Linked DNA regions of Sus scrofa. The protein of the gene in region 1 interacts with the protein of each later gene in a pairwise test. Links are inferred from orthologs where the notes say so. Each region holds a gene or a part of one and is shown in the gene's direction. Other genes may lie near its edges. The genes, in order: RBSN and EHD1.

Region 1 (9,414 bases):
CCTATGCTGAGAGAGAGAGCCCTAAAGTGGAAGGCAAGGGGAATAGATCCAGATTCTGCCACTGCAAGTGGCTCCTGACCATGTTGAGCAAACAAATAAAGTGTGCAAGAACTTCTCTGACTTGCTCAAAGGCCACATGGATGCATGTTCTTCCCCATGGGCATGACTTTGCATAAACTGTTCCCCTGGCCTGGAAGGCCCTTCCCAATCATTTCTACCTGAGGGTTCTGCTTACGCATTGTGGCCTCTGGGAAATGGCGCCCGAGTTCCCACAGGGATTTCATCAGCCTACCCACCCTCCCTTTTTTGTCTTTTTGTCTTTTTAGGGCCACACCCATGGCATATGGAGGTTCCCAGGCTAGGGGTCTAATTGGAGCCATATCCACTGGCCTACACCACAGCCACAGCAACGCCAGATCCGAGCTGTGTCTGTGACCTATACCACAGCTCACAGCAACACTGGATCCTTGACCCACTGAGAGAGGCCAGGGATCGAACCTACAACCTCATGGTTCCTAGAGGGATTCATTTCTGCTGCTCCACGATGGGAACTCCAGCCTTCCCTTTAATGCCTGAGCAGCTGCACACATGTGCACACTTCTCTCACTCCCCCGCTCCCCAACTAACTGGCTTATGAGATCTGTGTTCCTGCCAGTGGAGGCTGCCTCTGAGACCAAGACTGTCCCGCCTTATCTTTCTCACACCCTTTCTCTCTATTCCAGGTACATGGTTGGTGCCTGGAAAATGCAGGGAGAAGCAGAAATCAGACCTTCAGAGAGGAAGGAGTTGTGAGGGCTTCCCAGTACTGAATCAGTGTGACCATGAGCAAGTCACCTGTCCTCTCTGTGCCTCAGATCCTTCACTTATGAGGTGGGAACATGCTAGTTAATACCATATAGGTTTGTATGAGAATAAATTAAGACATGTAAAGCACATGGAATAGTGACCAGCACACATGAATCACTCAGTAAATATTAATCACTATTGCTATTATTAAAATGGAACTGGAGTTCCCTTCATGGCTCAGTGGTTAATGAATCCTACTAGGAGCCATGAGGTTTCGGGTTCGATCCCTGGCCTTGCTCAGTGGGTTAAGGATCTGGTGTTGCCGTGAACTGTGGTGTAGGTTGCAGACGCGGCTCGGATCCCACGTTGCTGTGGCTCTGGCGTAGGCTGGCGGCTACAGCTCCGATTCGACCCCTAGCCTGGGAACCTCCATATACTGTGGGAAGTGGCCCAAGAAATGGCAAAAAGACAAAAAATAAATAAATAAAATAAAATGGAACTAATAAGAGAGTCACCTAAAGAATTTAAATAATGAAAGTGCTTTTAATAAATTGTAAAGCACACAGGAAGGTCTTTGCCACTATCATACTTAAAAATATCAATAGAATGGCTGATTCTTCATAATTTCCAGAGCTGTGGGCCATTTGGCCAGTGCTTTTTTTTTTTTTTTTTTTTTTTTTTTTTTTTTTGGCTGTGCCCACAACATATGAAGTTCCTGGACCAGGGATTGAACCCATGCCACAGCAGCAACCCAAGCTACTGCAGTGAAAATGCCAGGTCCTTAACCTGCTGCGCCACAAAAGAACTCCTGGCGATTGCTTTTTTGAACAAATGAAATGGCAAATGTGACATTAGCATTTGTAAATGATAGAACAACAGAAAAAAATCATGATGGATTGATAAAAGGTTTATCCCCTGACCACAGACATTGTCCTGCCTGGGAGCATGGCTTGTTCTGGGACTCCTGTGGTCCCAGACAAGCAATAACGTGTTTTCACTCCCAGCCCTGGCTACCAGGACCCAAGGCAGAGGCCAGTGACAGAGGCAGATTTGGGTCTGTTGCTTTGTTTATGACAGGTTGGCAAGTCTCTTCCTTGTCTGTGTCAGTTCACAGGGCAGGGTTCCTGACCATGCCTCCCAACCCTGTAAAGTGAAAAGAGCTTTGGGACCTATTTTAGCTGTACAGGTGGGGAAACTGAGGCCAATCCAGGGGACAGGACCTGTTCAAAGTCACAGAGTAAGGTGCAGCTTGGATAGACCCCACGTCTCTAAACACCTAGCTCACCGCCCTTTTGCTGGCATTTATTCTCCAAAAACTCAGTGCTCTCCATGCCAGAAGCCTCAAGTCCCTAAACAGAAGTTCATGGAAGCCCAACACTAGCTGCAGAATCAGTGCTCCAGTTCAGAGAAGCAGAGGTGCAGCCAGTGTTAGGGACACACACACCACCCAGTGCACTCCCCCCAGCCCATGTAACCTCACCCAGTCTTGACAATCCTATAAGGTGGAAACTATTTTTATCTCCATTTTACAGACTGTGATAATAGGAGTCAAAGCAATCAAGTACCACTACTGGAACATGAATTGAGGCTACCTTCTGACCCCAAAGCTCAGGATCTTCCCATTATTCTGTGTAGCTCTTCTTCTGGTGTCCCAGCCATTGCTGAAGGCCAGCGCTAGTGCAGGGCACAAAGCAAACAGCTCCCAAGGGCTGGGATGAGGTTTTTTCCCTAGATACTCCATGGTACCCAGCACAGTGCAGGGCATGGTGTAGGGGCTAACTGAGCATCCTTTTTTTTTCTTTTTTCTTTTTAGGGCCACACTCATAGCATATGGAAGTTCCCAGGCTAGGGGTTGAATCAGAGCTGCAGCTGCTGGCCTATACCACAGCCACAGCAGCAACAGATCCAAGCCACATCTGTGACCTATGCCATTGCTTGCAACGATGCTGGAAGCTTATCTCACTGAGCGAGGCCAGGGATGGAACCTGCATCTTCATGGATGTTAGTTGCATTTTTAATCTGCTGAGCCGCAATGGGAACTCCATTTTTTTTTTTTTTTTTTTTTTTTTTGTCTTCTGCCTTTTCTAGGGCTGCTCCCACAGCATATGGAGGATCCCAGGCTAGGGGTCGAATCGGAGCTGTAGCCGCCAGCTTACACCACAGTCACAGCAAGGCGGGATCCGAGTTGCGTCTTCGACGTGCACCACAGCTCACGGCAATGCCAGATCCTTAACCCACTTAGCGAGGCCAGGGATCGAACCCGCAACCTTATGGTTCCTAGTCAGATTTGCCAACCACTGAGCCACAATGGGAACTCCGGGAACTCCATTTTTGAGGTATACTGGACATAATGTTATATCAGTTACCATAATGATTCAATCTTTGTATATATTGCAAAATGATCACCACAATAAGTCTAACATCTGTCACCATACATAGTTACAAACTTTTTTTCTCATGTCATGAGAACTTTTAGGATCTACTCTCTCAGGAACTTTGAAATATGCGATATAGTATTATTAACTAGAGTCAACATGCTGTGTATTATATCCCAAGACTAATTTGTCTTATAACTGGAATTTCGTACCTCTTGTCCCCCTTTGCTCATTTCTACCCACCTCCCCAAGCTTCTGCAGTGACAATGTGGAATCCTTAACCCACTGCACCACAAGAGAACTTCAGTATTTGCTTTTTCTGTTTGATTTATTTCACTTAGCCTAATGCCCAAGTCCATCTATGTTGTTGCAAACGGTAGGATTTCATCCTTTTTATGGCTAAATTGTATATATAATTTTATCACATTTTCTTTATCCATTCATTATCTGTTAATGGACACTTTGGCTGTTTCCATATTCTTGGTTACTGTAAGGAATGCTGCAACAGGCAGATGCAGCTATCTTTTGAGTTAGTGTTTTCCTATTTTTCAGATAAACAACAAGAACTGGAATTGGTGGATCATATAGTAGCTTTATTTTTTAATTTTTTGAGGAACCGCCATCCTGTTTTTCATAGTGGCTGCACCAATATGCATTCCTACCAATAGTGCACAACTGTTCATCTCATATCCTCACCAATGCTTCTTTTTGATAATAGCTCCTCTAACAGGTGTGGGGTGTTCTCTCACAGAGGTTTTGACTTCCCTTTGAAAATGCCACAGATTTTCCCTGACCGCAACGTACACACCTGGGATCGATACTCCTTCTCATTCCAGGCCCCACTCTCATGCGGTTCTTTCTATTCCAGATGTTTTCACATCCTCCAGGCTTGAGCGTTCCTTTTCTCTCTAGTGCTTGGGAGCGTTAATTGACTTTAACTTAGAACTGCAGTTGCGGGTGCAAGAGGCATTAAAGACGCCTCACTACCTCATTCATTGTGCACCCCCGTCAAGCGCTAAAGAACTACAGGATTCAGTTTTCTTTTTTTGCTTTTTAGGGCCACACTTGTGGCATATGGAATTTCCCAGGCTAGGGGTCTAATCGGAGCTACAGCTGCAGGCCCACACCACAGCCGCAGCAATGCTGGATCCCAGCCGCCTCTGCGACCTACACCACAGCTCACTGGCAAACGCTGGCGAGCCCAGGGATGGAACCAACCAGCATCTTCATGAATACTAGTCGGATTCGTTTCCGTTGGGGCACAATGGGAACGCCTCAGTTTTCTCATCTGTACAGTGGTGTGCATAGTCAGGGACGGGGTCTAATGCTCGGCACCTAACAACCTGGGGCGTCAAAAACCTCGTAAAATGGCAGAGCCCCCGCCCCCTGCCACTTCTAAGAGCGCCTTCGCTGAAGCCGCAGCTGTCCGTGCCTGGGGAGTCTGCCCACCCCTCGAAGACTCGGCGCTCTTCCGGCGTCTGTCAGCCTGCCTTCCGGTTTGGGCGCCGTCGCAGGCGCGCCTGCCGAGCGCCGAGCAGTCGATGGAGATGGCGGTCGCTCCTGCGTGAGGGGCCGCGGAGGCCCAGAACTCGGGTCTCAGGACTGCGAGCCCGCGGGAACCGGTGGGGTACCGATGGCTGGGCGTGCGTGCGGGGTGGGATGGGGTGCGGCTCCCCTCAGGAGCCGGCCGGGGGGCGTGGGACCCGTGTGCAGTGGTGGGTGGGACGTGCGTGGTGGGCGCTGCAGCTCGCGGGCCGCGTTTCCCTCACGGGCCGACGATGATTGGACCCTGGTTGTGTGGTTGCGCTGGGCTGTGGGATCTGCGGTTGGGCGCCCAGGTGGTTGTGTTTGAGTCTCTGCTTGTGGGAGGTTAAGGTGTTTGAGTTCAGGGTTTGTATGGCGTCCGCGTGAAGGTGTCGTGTGTGCCCTGTGAGGACGAGTCTTTCCCGTCCTGTGTAGTGGTGCGGCGGGTGCGCTTCGTGTTGAGTTACGTAGTGGCTGGCGCGTGGCCCTGTAGGTTTTATTCGTGGTTTTGAGGTGATTTAAGTTGTTAGGGGCTCGCATATGTTGTGGATGTGGGAGCTGGCTCTGTGGTTTGTGGTCGATCCCTTTGGTTTGTGGTGGGTGTCTGGTTATGTGATTGCACGGGTCGTGGCCGTTCATTCATTCACTCACTCATGCGTGGAGCGTTGTTGCCTGCTCGGTGGTTTGTGCGGGGCACTGAGCCCCACCTTGGGGTGTGGTGGTGGGGGTGTGGTGGTGGGGAACGTGGCCCCCGCCCTCCAGACCTGTAGGCTGATAGACTTGTGTACCTGTGATTACAAATTGAGATAAGTGCTGTGAGGAGAGGTGCAGGGCCGCCCCACAGGAGACTGGAGGCAGGGTGGGTGCCTTGGCATGCGGGGGATGGTATGTGCTGGAATTGTGGTTGGTAGGGTCAGGCGTGGGAAGGAAGGGAGCTCAGGTCAACCGCTGTCTAGGGAGGGGCCAGGAGCTGCTGTTTCAGCGACCATCAGGGAAAGGGGCTGAGAGGTGCATGTAGGGCTTTTTAGTTAGAGGAAGAACACAGAGACCTCGTGTTTTGTTTGTTTATTTTCTGGGTCATTGCCAGAAATCAGTTTCTCCTGGGTGGCCCTCTAAGCAGGTCATCCACAGCTCAAAGCTGAGGGACATTCATTCTGCCTCACAATCTCTTGTAATTTGTGGCCTCAGGTTCTTGGGGGGAAGTTTCTTGTTTTTGTGGAATGGTTTTGTCTGGGTTCTCCTGGCTGGAAGTCTTTGTGAAGTGACATTGGAAGTGATAATACTCGAAAATGTAACTTATTAATCCCTGAATTCTTAAAGCATCAAATTCCTTTATTTTTGAAGTAGTGAGAGCATTAGGCTTGCTGGTTCATAAAATCTAGTAAATTTACTTGAGAAAAACTACTCTACAGATGTAAGACACAAAATAGATTTTTCTTTTTGATCACAAAGTTTCTAAGGCTCTTCTTTACGGTTGAGATTTTTCTTTGGTTTGGTTCGGTGTTTTTAGGGGAGATGCTATCTCTTTTTTGACATAGGTGCAAGAGCTCCATACATGTGGTTGAATAAATAGGGTAAAAGGAGTCAAATAAAATCTTCTGTTTGTTGATCACTACTTTTGACTTTTCCCCATTGGCCAAAGTGGCATACAAATGATGAAGTTGGACCATTGGAATGAGTGTTAGAGAATTGCCTTGGTATTATGATTACTGTTGAAGTCATATTTTCCTCTTATCTTCAAGAATCTGTGCTTGCCTCTTTATTGAGTTACCTGTTGTCTAGTGATGTTCTCATATCCAAGAAGCTTTTGTGTTTTGGTCTAAGAATTTGAGAAGGCAGTTTGTGTTTTCAGAAAGCGGCACTGAAAAACATCATGTACCCTTGCTGAACTGTGAAGAGAACAAGGAAAATTCTCAATTGCCGCTAATTTGCCTGAATTGTTTTTTTTTCTCCCTTCTTTCCTTTTTTAGGACTTCACCTACTCCAGAGAGGAAACCTCATCCAAGACCACGATTCCACGTCCCCATCATCTGTGTGCTGCTTGGTTGAGCTGATGCTGTGGGAGTCCTGGTCTCTTGTGGAGGAATCAAGCTGACTCTTGGCATGAGGCCCCTGCCTTGTGGGGGTTGAGAGGGACACTACCATGGCTTCTCTGGATGACCCAGGGGACGTGAGAGAGGGCTTCCTCTGCCCTTTGTGCCTGAAGGACCTGCAGTCTTTCTATCAGCTGCAGTCACATTATGAGGAAGAGCACTCTGGGGAAGACCGTGATGTCAAAGGGCAAATTAAAAGTAAGAGGAGAGAATTTTCTCCTTGTCCCATTCTGTCTTTGGGAGCTTGAACTCATGGGATGGTTTTCATTAGCTTCCATGTTGCCACCAGAACATAATACACAATAGTAAATTAATAATAATAGTAAAATATATCTAGTATATCTAGTGCTTTCTATGTGCCAGGCATTATTCAGAACCTTCCCTTGTATTAACTTCATTTAATTCTCACACTGTGTGACTATGAGCCCCTTCTTACTGATGAGGATACTAGACACAGAGAGATTAGACACAGAGATAACTTGCCTGAACTTAAACAGTGAGATAGAGCCTGGCTTTGAACTTAGTGTAATTACTGTGCTCTGCTGTCTCTTGCAAGACTGTTTGAATTCTCTAACTGCCAACCTAAAAGGCTTTGGGGGTTGGAATTCCTTTCCTTTGCTCTGTAAGTGGAGGCAGATTGTACACCCATTTACCTATCACAAATTCAGGGCTTCCTGCCATACTTACTTCCTCAGCTAGAACATGTCCTCTGCAGTGCAGGAAAAGGAAGGCGATAGTTGACATGTAAAGAGGAAAACCAAAAAAGTTAAAACTTGGTTTTTGAGTTTCAAGGACCCTCAGGTCCTGGAGGACTGCATAAACAATTTTTCAAAGTAATTTTTGCTATATAGAGTATTCATTTCTTGGACTTTAGATTCTAAGCCCTAAGTATGGTGCTGCTCCTCTGGAACTCACTTTCCTAGTACTTCAGCCAACAGCTGGCAGCATTTCTGAAGGCAGGTAGATTTAAAAGGTCTAATGTTGTATTCGTGATTCTTTGTTGGGTGGGAGAGAAAGGAATGATCGTGTATCCTAAGTGGGCTTTGACTTCTGCACATGTAGTCACATGCCCCCTGTAATCACATAGTCTCACTCCATGTCTCACTTTTCAGTTTAGAAGAAAAAGAGTTGTTAAAAGCAGTAACATTTATAGCTTCTGTCAATAATATGACAAAGTCAAATATTTTCAAAATATTGAGGCCATGATGAAATAGCTTCTGGCTGTAGATGCTGGAGCAGAGTCATAATTCTTAGAAGGCAAAAGAAAAAAGAAAAAGAAATGTATATTCTTTCACATACTTTGTTATTTTGTTAGACTTTCCCAGCAACCCTTCAGGAAAGTGGTTGGTCTTATTTTACAGAGAAAAAGTGAGGCTCAGAGATATGGAGTGACTTAGATAAGGTTACACAGGAAGTGACAGAGCTAGGCCTTGACCCCATAGCTCTGTCACCTCTAAGGTAAGTGCTGCTCTTTTCACACAGTGTCCTTAATGAGGTGAGGCCCTGCATTCCAATCATAGCATGAGAGCAGCTGAAAAACTAGCAAACAAATGAACTGAGTATCTAAAGTGTCCTTTGAACAACCAAAGGGCCTCCGTGATTTTCAGTGAGTGTCCAGCCTTACTGTCTGCTGAACTGAGTCATATAAGTGATCTCACTAACACTTTGATGCCAGTGGGTGGATATTGGAGAATGTCTTCCCATTCCTGGGATGACTGACACTTTTACATGGGGAAAAATGTGTAAGATTATTTAGGGAATAATAGATATGGGAATGTATTTAGAATATACTAGAATGGAAACTTTGTTCCTTGTGAGAATAACTTGAAAGAATTTTCACGTGTTTTCCCCTCCATTTCTCCCCCATCTCTGCCCCAGAACTAAAAGATTGAGTTAAGTATTTCTTCGGTACTACTAATGATCACTTCTTTAGTCAGGAAGAAATTCTTGCTTGTGTTGCAGTTCTCCATGTTTCAGAATAAGGAAGAAAAAATTTTGAAGATTGACATCAAAGGTTTTGGGAAAGTCCTTTAAAACGCAAATTAACCTCTCCATTTGGTGTTCTGATTCTTAGCGATCTTATGCCATTGCTAGTTTTAGGCAAGTGAAATGTTAAAGCCTAAAGAGTGAACCGTGTGGTATCAGGTTTGGGGACAGTTTAAAAAAGAAAATAGGGAGTTCCCATCCCAGCGCAGCAGAAATGAATGACTAGGAACCATGAGGTTGCAGGTTTGATCCCTGGCCTCGCTCAGTGGGTTAAGGATCTGGCATTGCCATGAGCTGTGGTGTAGGTCACAGACATAGCTCAGATCTGACGTTGCCTATGCTGTGGCATAGGCTGGCAGCTGTAGCTCCGATTAGACCCCTAGCGTGGGAACCTCCATATGTCTCTGGTGCGGCCCTAAAAAACAAGAAAGAAAGAAAAAAGAAAATATAAACTTGTCATCATAAAAAAAACATGGTCTATGAGTTTGGGCCCCAACTCTGGTTCAGCATCAGTTTAGCCTATGTACAGTAAGTAGAAGAAAAGGTGGTTGAAATGAACTGTGGCTTTGTGTTTTAAAAATGTGGTATTATTCTTAATTGGCCCCCTCTTGAAGGACTACACCCATCCTGAGAAGGTTGCCACACAGCTC
Region 2 (8,278 bases), on another chromosome or scaffold:
CCTCCTGGCCCTCCTCAGCTATCCGGGGGAAAGCAGAGCACAGAAAGAAAAAGAAAGCACAGCTGGGAATTCCTGTTGGGGCTCAGTGGGTTAAGAACCAGACTAGCATCCATAAGGACACAGGTTCAATCCCTGGCCTCACTTAGTGGGTTAAGGATCCGGTGTTGCTGTGAGCCGTGGTGTAGGTCACAGATGCCGCTCGGATCCTGCATTGCTATGGCTGTGGTGTAGGCTGGCAGCTGTAGCTCCGATTTGACCACTAGCCTGGGAACCTCCATATGCTGCGGGTGCGGCCCTAAAAAACAAAACAAAAAAAAAAAAAAAAGAGGAAGGAAAAGAAAAAGAAGAAAGCAGGACTTTATTTGCCTTATTTGTACTGTCTCCGGGTAGGCGTGGGTGGGATGCTGCAGAAGCCGGTGACTGGGGAGCTGTCCTGGGGGGTGGGTCGGACTGGGGGCCTGGGCGTGAGATGATGCTGAAGCCAGGACAGGAGGTAGTTGGTAGCAAGGTGGGACGCAAGCCTGCAGCACAGAGGACACTGGGTGACCTCCACCCCAGAGGCATTGTAAACCGTCCCTGCTCCTCCGTGGAGGCACAGGGCCTGCTGGCACCTGCTGACAGCATCAGAGTTGCTCAAGGGGTCGGAATCTCAGTGCCTGACCACGCTTTTTCAGTGGGACCCCGGGGAGGCTGGGAAAGGAAGATTAATGCCACGGGGGACCCATCTGACACCCGGACAGGACCTGTCCCCTGAGGACGTGTGGTTTTGAATAGTGCTGCATCCTAAACCTCTTGGGGCAGGCTCTGTCCCGGGAGAGCCGGGAGGAGCCCCATGGGCCACACTCCTGCCCCCAGGGAGCTAGCTGCCTGCCTGTGTGTAGCCCAGAGGTTGGGGACTCTGCCATAGTCCAAACAACGGTGGCCCAGGGCACCCCATGCCATCTTGAGGCCCAGGTCAAGTAGCTCTGGGTACTCCCTGGCCTGAGTAAAGAAAAGTGGCCCCAGAGTTCCCTTCGTGGCTTAGCAGTTAACGAACCTGCCTGGGATCCATAAGAATGCGGATCAAATCCCTGGCTTCAGTCAGTGGGTTAAGGATCCAGTGTTGCCGTGAGCTGTGGTGTAGGTCGAGGATGCGGTTCGGATCCGCGTTGCTGTGGCTGTGGTGTAGGCTGGCGGCTGTAGCTCCAGTTCAACCCCTGGCCTGGAAACCTCCATATGCCGCAGATTCAGCCCTAAAATAGCACCCCCCCCAAAAAAAAGAGAAGTGACCCGCATCCTTTATCCCAGTCTGTGTCCCCACCCCACTTCCCCAGAGTGCTCTTGGACCAGCAGATTGGAACTTGCTGGAAGAGTAGGTTCCCAGGCCCCCGCCCTACCAAACCAGACTCTGCATTCGGACACGGTCCCCTGGTGACCCGTATGCACGGTGAAGGTGCAGAATCCCACTCTGGAGGATGCAGGGCTGCACATTTCTCTAGATACCTCACTTCTGGAACTTTCCTGGTGAGTGGAGCTAGTTCTGAAAAAAGGAAGCCATGCGAAAATCCCCATCACCCGCTCCTGGCCGCGAAGGAGCTGAAACGGGAGGGGCGGTGAATGGAGGAGAGAGTGGGTCTCCCGGCCCGGCCTCTGCTCAGCTGCAGGGAAGGCAGCTCCCCGCCCACCCCGCCCAGCCCCTCTCCTGACAGGGCCTCCCGTGCTCTCGCTCAGCTTCCTTCCAGGACAGAATGAGGGGCAGACTTCGGGCCCCTGCTCCTTCCTCTCAGAGCTGGCGTGTCCGCGCCGGGCCCCCGGGCACACTGAGTCACGGTGCCTGGAAAGCCCCGTCCTCTCCAGTCCTGTCCTGCACCTGCTGTTTCGAGACTGTTTCCACTTCCTGGAGTGAGTCGCTCTCTCTGCTGGCCTGTGACGGGCAGAGCTATGCCTGTGTCTTTGGGACAGGATAGTGCTCGGCCAGGCTCCCAGCCCAGGCAGGTGGGGTCAGGCCGGTGGAGGGGCTTTGATGGGGCAGAGCGGCAGCTCTCCACGGCTGGACGGTGCTTGGCAAGGCGGAGGGCTTTGAGGGCCAGGCCTCGCAGGGTTGCCAGCGTTCCCGGTGCGCTGTGAGGACGGGAAGGCTGCGCCGCCCCGACTTGGCCAATGTCTGAGCAAGGTACTGAGTTTAGATAAAGCCGGAAACATCTGGGAGAAGCCTTGCGGGATTTTCCAGTCCTTAGTCACCCCTGAGCCTGTCAGGATGATAAAGCAGGGCGTCACACAGGCCGGGCTGGAGTCCCCAAACCATCCACAGGCCCGTAGAAGCAGCGCGGCGCGGCTCCGCTTGGCTTGCGGGGAGCGTGGCAGGTGCGCACGGAGAAACGGCAAGAACGTGGGCTCTGGGCTGCTGTTAGCAGTCCCGGGTTCTGGTCCCAGCTTTCTGGGGCAGCCCGGGTGCAGGCCACGCTCCCAGCAAGGTGTCCGGGAGGCGCCTGACGCACACCCCGTCCCTGTTGCCCCAGGTCCACGCCTACATCATCAGCTCCCTCAAGAAGGAGATGCCCAATGTCTTTGGCAAAGAGAGCAAGAAGAAAGAGCTGGTCAACAACCTGGGCGAGATCTACCAGAAGATCGAGCGCGAGCATCAGATCTCCCCCGGCGACTTCCCCAGCCTCCGCAAGATGCAGGTGGGCTGTCCCCCACACCCTGAGGCGGCCTCAGGTCACCGGGGCTGTGGTTCCCGAGGGAACCCGGCTCCATGGGGCGGGGCCTCCCCAAATGGAAACAGCCTGGTTAATCACCAGCGCCCCACCCGATGGGAGAAGCCGACCTCCCCCCGCCCCCCCCCGGGCCCGTGACACCTCGCAGGGGAATGTGGTGACTCACTCAGAGGGGGAGGGAGCGGGCTGGGCCGTGCCAGGCACCCCAGTCTCCTCCCAGTTAAGGAGGCTGCAAAGGGGGGGCTGTTCTTACCTCTCATTTATAGTGGGGGGCACCGAGGCCCCGGGAGGGGGCAGTTCACACCACTGCCTGAGATGCTAAGTGATCGGGGCCGCCACGCGGAGCCGGCCTTTCTCCTGGGCACCCCAGCTTCCACCGCGCAGCCTGACCCAGCCCCGTCCTTCCTCCCTCCCACCGCAGGAGCTCCTGCAGTCCCAGGACTTCAGCAAGTTCCAGGCCCTGAAGCCCAAGCTGCTGGACACAGTGGACGACATGCTGGCCAACGACATCGCCCGGCTGATGGTCATGGTGCGTCAGGAGGAGTCCCTGATGCCCGCCCAGGCCGTGAAGGGCGGCGCCTTCGAAGGCACCATGAACGGGCCCTTCGGGCACGGCTACGGCGAGGGGGCCGGCGAGGGCATTGACGACGTCGAGTGGGTGGTGGGCAAGGACAAGCCCACCTACGACGAGATCTTCTACACGCTGTCGCCCGTCAACGGCAAGATCACGGGCGCCAACGCCAAGAAGGAGATGGTGAAGTCCAAGCTGCCCAACACGGTGCTGGGCAAGATCTGGAAGCTGGCCGACGTGGACCGGGACGGGCTGCTGGACGACGAGGAGTTCGCCCTGGCCAACCACCTCATCAAAGTCAAGCTGGAGGGCCACGAGCTGCCCGCCGACCTGCCCCCGCACCTGATCCCGCCCTCCAAGCGGAGGCCCCAGTGACCGCGGCCCCGCCGGCCGAGTCGGCCGCCTCCATGCCGGCCCTGCAGCGGCTGGGGGAGCGGAGGGGCGGCGGTTCCCAAGCCCACAAGGACCGAGCCCTGTTGCCGCAGCTCGCAAAGGAAAACCACCGTCTTTCTCTTAAGGCTGCTGCCAGGGAGGCCGGGGTGATCCTTACATGTGAAGGGTGGAATTTTGTGCATAAGAACTACGGATATTTTTAATATATAACGTTAGAGGCAGCCTTCTCTCTGGCCTCCTCCGCCTCCTCCTCCGTCTGGCGGCCCCAGCGCACCCCGCCTCTGTCCTGCGCGTCCTCGGCTCCTGCGCTGGCTCTCTAGCACCTGCCGCCCCGGGGGAGGGCGCCCGGCTCACCCCTCCCGCGGCTGCAACCATGTAGACGGGGACGCGGGACCTCGTTTGTTTCTAGGCCGAGTGGCTCCACCAGGCCAGGGGCTTCCTTCCCGCCCAGCCCTGCCCTCTCCCTCCGCTCCCAGATTCAGTTAGTTCTTGTGCCTTCCTCCCACCCCTACCCCCCGCGTCCTCCTGTCCACGGGCCTGCTCCTTGCTCTCAAGCCCAGCTGCCTTTCTGGGGAGGCGGGGGCTGGGCGAGTGTGAGAGAGCACATCTTCCAGAGAAATACATAAGCTAGGTTTCTGTAAAGTTAACAGCTTTCCTACTGGACTGAATTTTCCAGTAACTTCCCAACCACTTGTTCAGAAGCTGTGATTTTTGTCTCCTTCCCCACACTCCAGCCAGGGGACAACTCCACTCAGGAGCCATCAGACATGGGGTGTGTGCAGAGCACACCCCGCCGGAGCCCCCGGAGAGAGCTGCTTTCTCCTCCCCTCGCCCTCCTGCAATGTCCTGGTGGCACCGCCCTCCCTGCCTTTGCTGCGCAGTGGGTCCCCGGAACCTGGTGTGGCGTGGCGTGGTGCTCCAGCCAGCAGAGGCCAGGGCCCCCCCCACCCCCAACCCCTCCCCCTGCCCGCCTGCCTTCCTCCCTGAGCAAAGGGGGGCGCTGCTCAACTTGGATGCCCTTAAAATAGCAGCCCCGGGGCTGAGCAGCGAGAAACCTGAGCCAGTGAGAGGCCAGCTCAGGCCACCTCTCTGCCCTGCCTCGGCTGGGCTATCCCAGCACGGCGTCCAGGGGTCTGGACCTGCCTGCTGGCCAGTGGTCAGGGCCTGGAGCCGACATCGAAGAACCACCGCGGCGGGGGAGCAGGCCTCCCACCAGGCACTCCCTCAGGGGTTTCGGGGACTCCACTCTGACCTCTGACCGTGGTCCCCCTCCCAGTGCCGTTCTCTAGACCTCTGCCGGGCCCTAGTGGCCAGGAACTGGCCTTGTTACCTCCAGCCGGCCTCGGCCCCCTATTCCATAGGGTATCGGGGGTGGAAGCAACATCCTTGTCGGGAATTCACTGTTTAAGGTGCAATGGCTTAACCACCCTTACCTGTGGGAAGAAAAAGCAACTGAAGACAAGACTTTTTTTCTTGCATTAAAACAGTTTAATTGTGCCGAAGCCGGCTTCTTGCGCTTAGCTGTCTCTCCCTGGGGCCCACTCCCAACAGCACCTGCTTGGCACTGGCAGAGCATTTGGGGGCCAAAGTACCATCAGGGACAGACTGGCAAGCCCGCCAGGATGGGTGGCAGTCCCTCCCTAGCCATGCTCAGCTCTGTGGCAGCTGCTGCCTCCCATCCATAGAGTGAGGCCTGCAAACGGGGCTGTGACCCCCTTTCTTGTGCCAGGTGGGGGCTGAGCTGCAGTAGCTTATTGGGGGGGGCAGTGAAGAAGTCTGGAGAGCCTCTGATGACTGAGAACTAGGCGGCCCCCGGGCTGGAGGAGCAGGTACCCCCCACCCCCGCCCGTGACCTTCACAGCGTCTCCTCCAACCTGGGCTCCGCCCTCACCATGAACAGACAGGTGGGCACCCACGGGGCTCTGGGCACCGAGAGGGGTCAAGCAGACAGGGTAGGCTGGGCTCCGTGCTGCCCCCATGGTGGTTTAGACTGGCAAGCCAGTACTTTGAAGGCAGATCAAGCAGATAACACCAGCAACGAAACTACAAAGGATGTGGCCAGCTGATGTCAGAGATGGGGCACCGTTTGTAACCCACAGAGGGAAGGGTGAGACATTGGGAGCCGACGCCATGGAAGGGTGCGGATTGGCGGTGCAGCTGGGGCGGAGACCATTCCAGACACACCTGTAGCAAAGGGCAGAATGTCAACAGGTGCCTATGGGTTTTGAGAGCCAGGCTGTGTGTGCCAGCCTGGGTGGCAGGTGTCTGGTCTCATGGCAGCATCTGAGGTGGCAGGGGCTTCCCAGCCCTTCCAGGGCTTGCCTGGTTCTAGGTTCACCCTGCTCCTCGTGACCCGAAGGTTCGCGTTCTCTCCATTTCGCCGCTGGGAACCTGGGATGTGGGGAGGTGAAGAGCAAGGGTCGAGGGACGAGATTCAAGCCACCCAAGTCCAAAGCCATCATGCACCCCCAAGTTTCACGTGGAAACTACCCTTCCAAGAAAAAACAAGAGTTCCCCGGTGGCTCGGCAGGTTAAAGATCTGGCGTCACTACTGCAGCTCAAGCTCGATCCCTGGCTGGGGAACTTCCACATGTCAGGGGTGCGGCCCCCACCCCACCCCCAAAAAAACCAAAACTGACAGCCCACCCCACCCGTCAAAGTCTGCAGCTATAGACACAGGTTCGAGAAACCCACACTGAAGATTAAATGCTCTCACTCCAGCCTGGGGACCTGAAAGCTTGGGGCAGCCCCTCAATTTCCAGCGTCACCTGAGAGGCAGTGGGCCATGTCTGTGCAAGCTGTAGGAGCACGAAGAAGACCAGCTGGAGTTCCCCTGCGGCACAAGGGGATCAGTGGCATCTTGGGGGTTCAATCCCTGGCCTGGCACAGTGGGTTAAAAATCTGGTGTTGCTGCAGCTGCGGCTTAGGTCTTCAACTAGGCTCTGATTCCTGGCCTGGGAACTCCGTATGCTGCAGGGTAGCCAAAAATGAAAAAAGAACCAAAAACAAAAAAAGAAAACACAAGAGTTTCCGTCATGGTGCAGCAGTAACCTGACTAGCATCCATGAGGTTGCGGGTTTGATCCCTGGCCTCGCTCAGTGGGTTAAGGATCCGGCGTTGCTGTGAGCAGTGGTGTGGGTTGCAGATGCAGCTCAGATCTGGCCTGGCTGTGGCTGTGGCGTAGGCCTGCAGCGGTAGCTCTGATTCAGCCCCTAGCCTGGGAACCTCCGTATGCTGTGGTTGTGGCCCTGAAAAATGAAAAAAAAAAGAAAGAAAACACAGGACTGACAGGTTCTCTTAAAACGTGAGTGTGAGGAGTTCCCTGGTGGCATGCGGCCAAAAAAAAAAAAGAGAAAAGAAGCGTGGAGGGTGAGCAGCACTCCCCAGCCTGCCCCACCCCCTTCGCTGTGGCCAAAGGCTGCCCCAGCCCTGGGAAGCGCCTGCTGATCTGAGGCTTGAAGAGGGCCCCAGAGCAGGCAACTGCCCCATGCTCCCCCGGAGCTCATATCCTGTTTGGGTTTTACAGGTTGTGGGGGGCGGGGATTTTTCTCCCAGCTCTGATGGGGTTTGGAAGGGCAGTGGGTGTGAACTGGGGGTGCCGGCTCCCCCTTGCCTACTCCTCAGATCCCAGCTGGCCAGGATCCTGGGTGAAAGGCCCCCTCCTACAGGCTGGTCCGGGGTCAGGCTGCAGTTCCACCCGGGGCCCCAGAGCTCCTGGAGTCAGAGAACTTTGGGGCGCCCTGCCCACGCGATGCCTCAGATCCCACCCACTGCCTCTGGGCCCCGCAGCACAGCTGTTTTATACCTGGAGGTTCCATGTGAGAGTAGTAACCATTTCTTCTACTCCTCAATAAACAAAAAACTAATCATGCATCTAAGCCAGTGCCTTATCTCAAATGGACTGGTCAGAGGACGTGCCCAAGACCAACAGGCTGGGAAGGTTAGGGAGCCCACCCACTTGTCCTGCCTCCAGCATTCAGAGCAGCCAGCTCCAAAAACAGGGAGAGGGCAGGCCTCGGGGCCACAGGCAGGAGGTGGAATCCTGGCCCTGCCACCTGCTGGGGCGCAGCCATCTGTTCCCTGGGGCCCAGATGCAAACAGTGACCCCTGCTGCCCGGAGGTGGGGCCTGTGAAGGCCCAACAGGAGTGGCCGCCTTTCCTGAGCCCCTCAGGAAGGCTGGTCAGGGTGGGGTGAGGGTCGGTGGGGGGAGCCCAGCACCGCACCCAACTCCCAGATCAACGCAGGCAGGACCCACCCTTCCCTGAAGTGGCTCTCAGACTTAGTGGCGCCCGGGGGCCAGAGGTGTGGTGGCCAAGGGGGGCTCCGGCTTGGCTTCCTGCGCGCCTAGAAGGATTGGTGATTATAAAACCACATGGGGCTGCAGCCGCTGTGGCTGTGAGCGTGGGAGCCCCTACGGCTGTTGGAGCAGCGCAGAGATTTTTGGAAGAAAAGCCAGGATGATGAAATCACCATATGTCCACCCCTGTTTGGACCTTGGACTTTTCAAAAGCCACACCCCTGCCGTGCTGGGGTTGGGGAGAGGGAGAAGTGGGCGTGGGGGGCTGCCGAGGACTAGCTTGGGGAGTGGGGACCCTACATCCCACCATCTGCATCGCC

The links.
Region 2: the proteins of RBSN (region 1) and EHD1 interact in binary tests that used the Homo sapiens proteins (3 or more experiments, as listed by UniProt). The link is inferred for Sus scrofa from reciprocal best matches to the Homo sapiens genes RBSN and EHD1.

The regions. Positions count from the first base shown.
Region 1 is NC_010455.5:69,399,336-69,408,749, forward strand, and holds the start of RBSN (rabenosyn-5), read left to right. Parts: upstream 1-4,659; 5' UTR 4,660-4,783; intron 4,784-6,655; 5' UTR 6,656-6,828; coding exon 6,829-6,976; intron 6,977-9,414. UniProt on the Homo sapiens protein: Rab4/Rab5 effector protein acting in early endocytic membrane fusion and membrane trafficking of recycling endosomes. Required for endosome fusion either homotypically or with clathrin coated vesicles.
Region 2 is NC_010444.4:7,316,419-7,324,696, forward strand, and holds the end of EHD1 (EH domain-containing protein 1), read left to right. Parts: intron 1-2,498; coding exon 2,499-2,663; intron 2,664-3,117; coding exon 3,118-3,642; 3' UTR 3,643-5,162; downstream 5,163-8,278. UniProt on the Homo sapiens protein: ATP- and membrane-binding protein that controls membrane reorganization/tubulation upon ATP hydrolysis. In vitro causes vesiculation of endocytic membranes. Acts in early endocytic membrane fusion and membrane trafficking of recycling endosomes.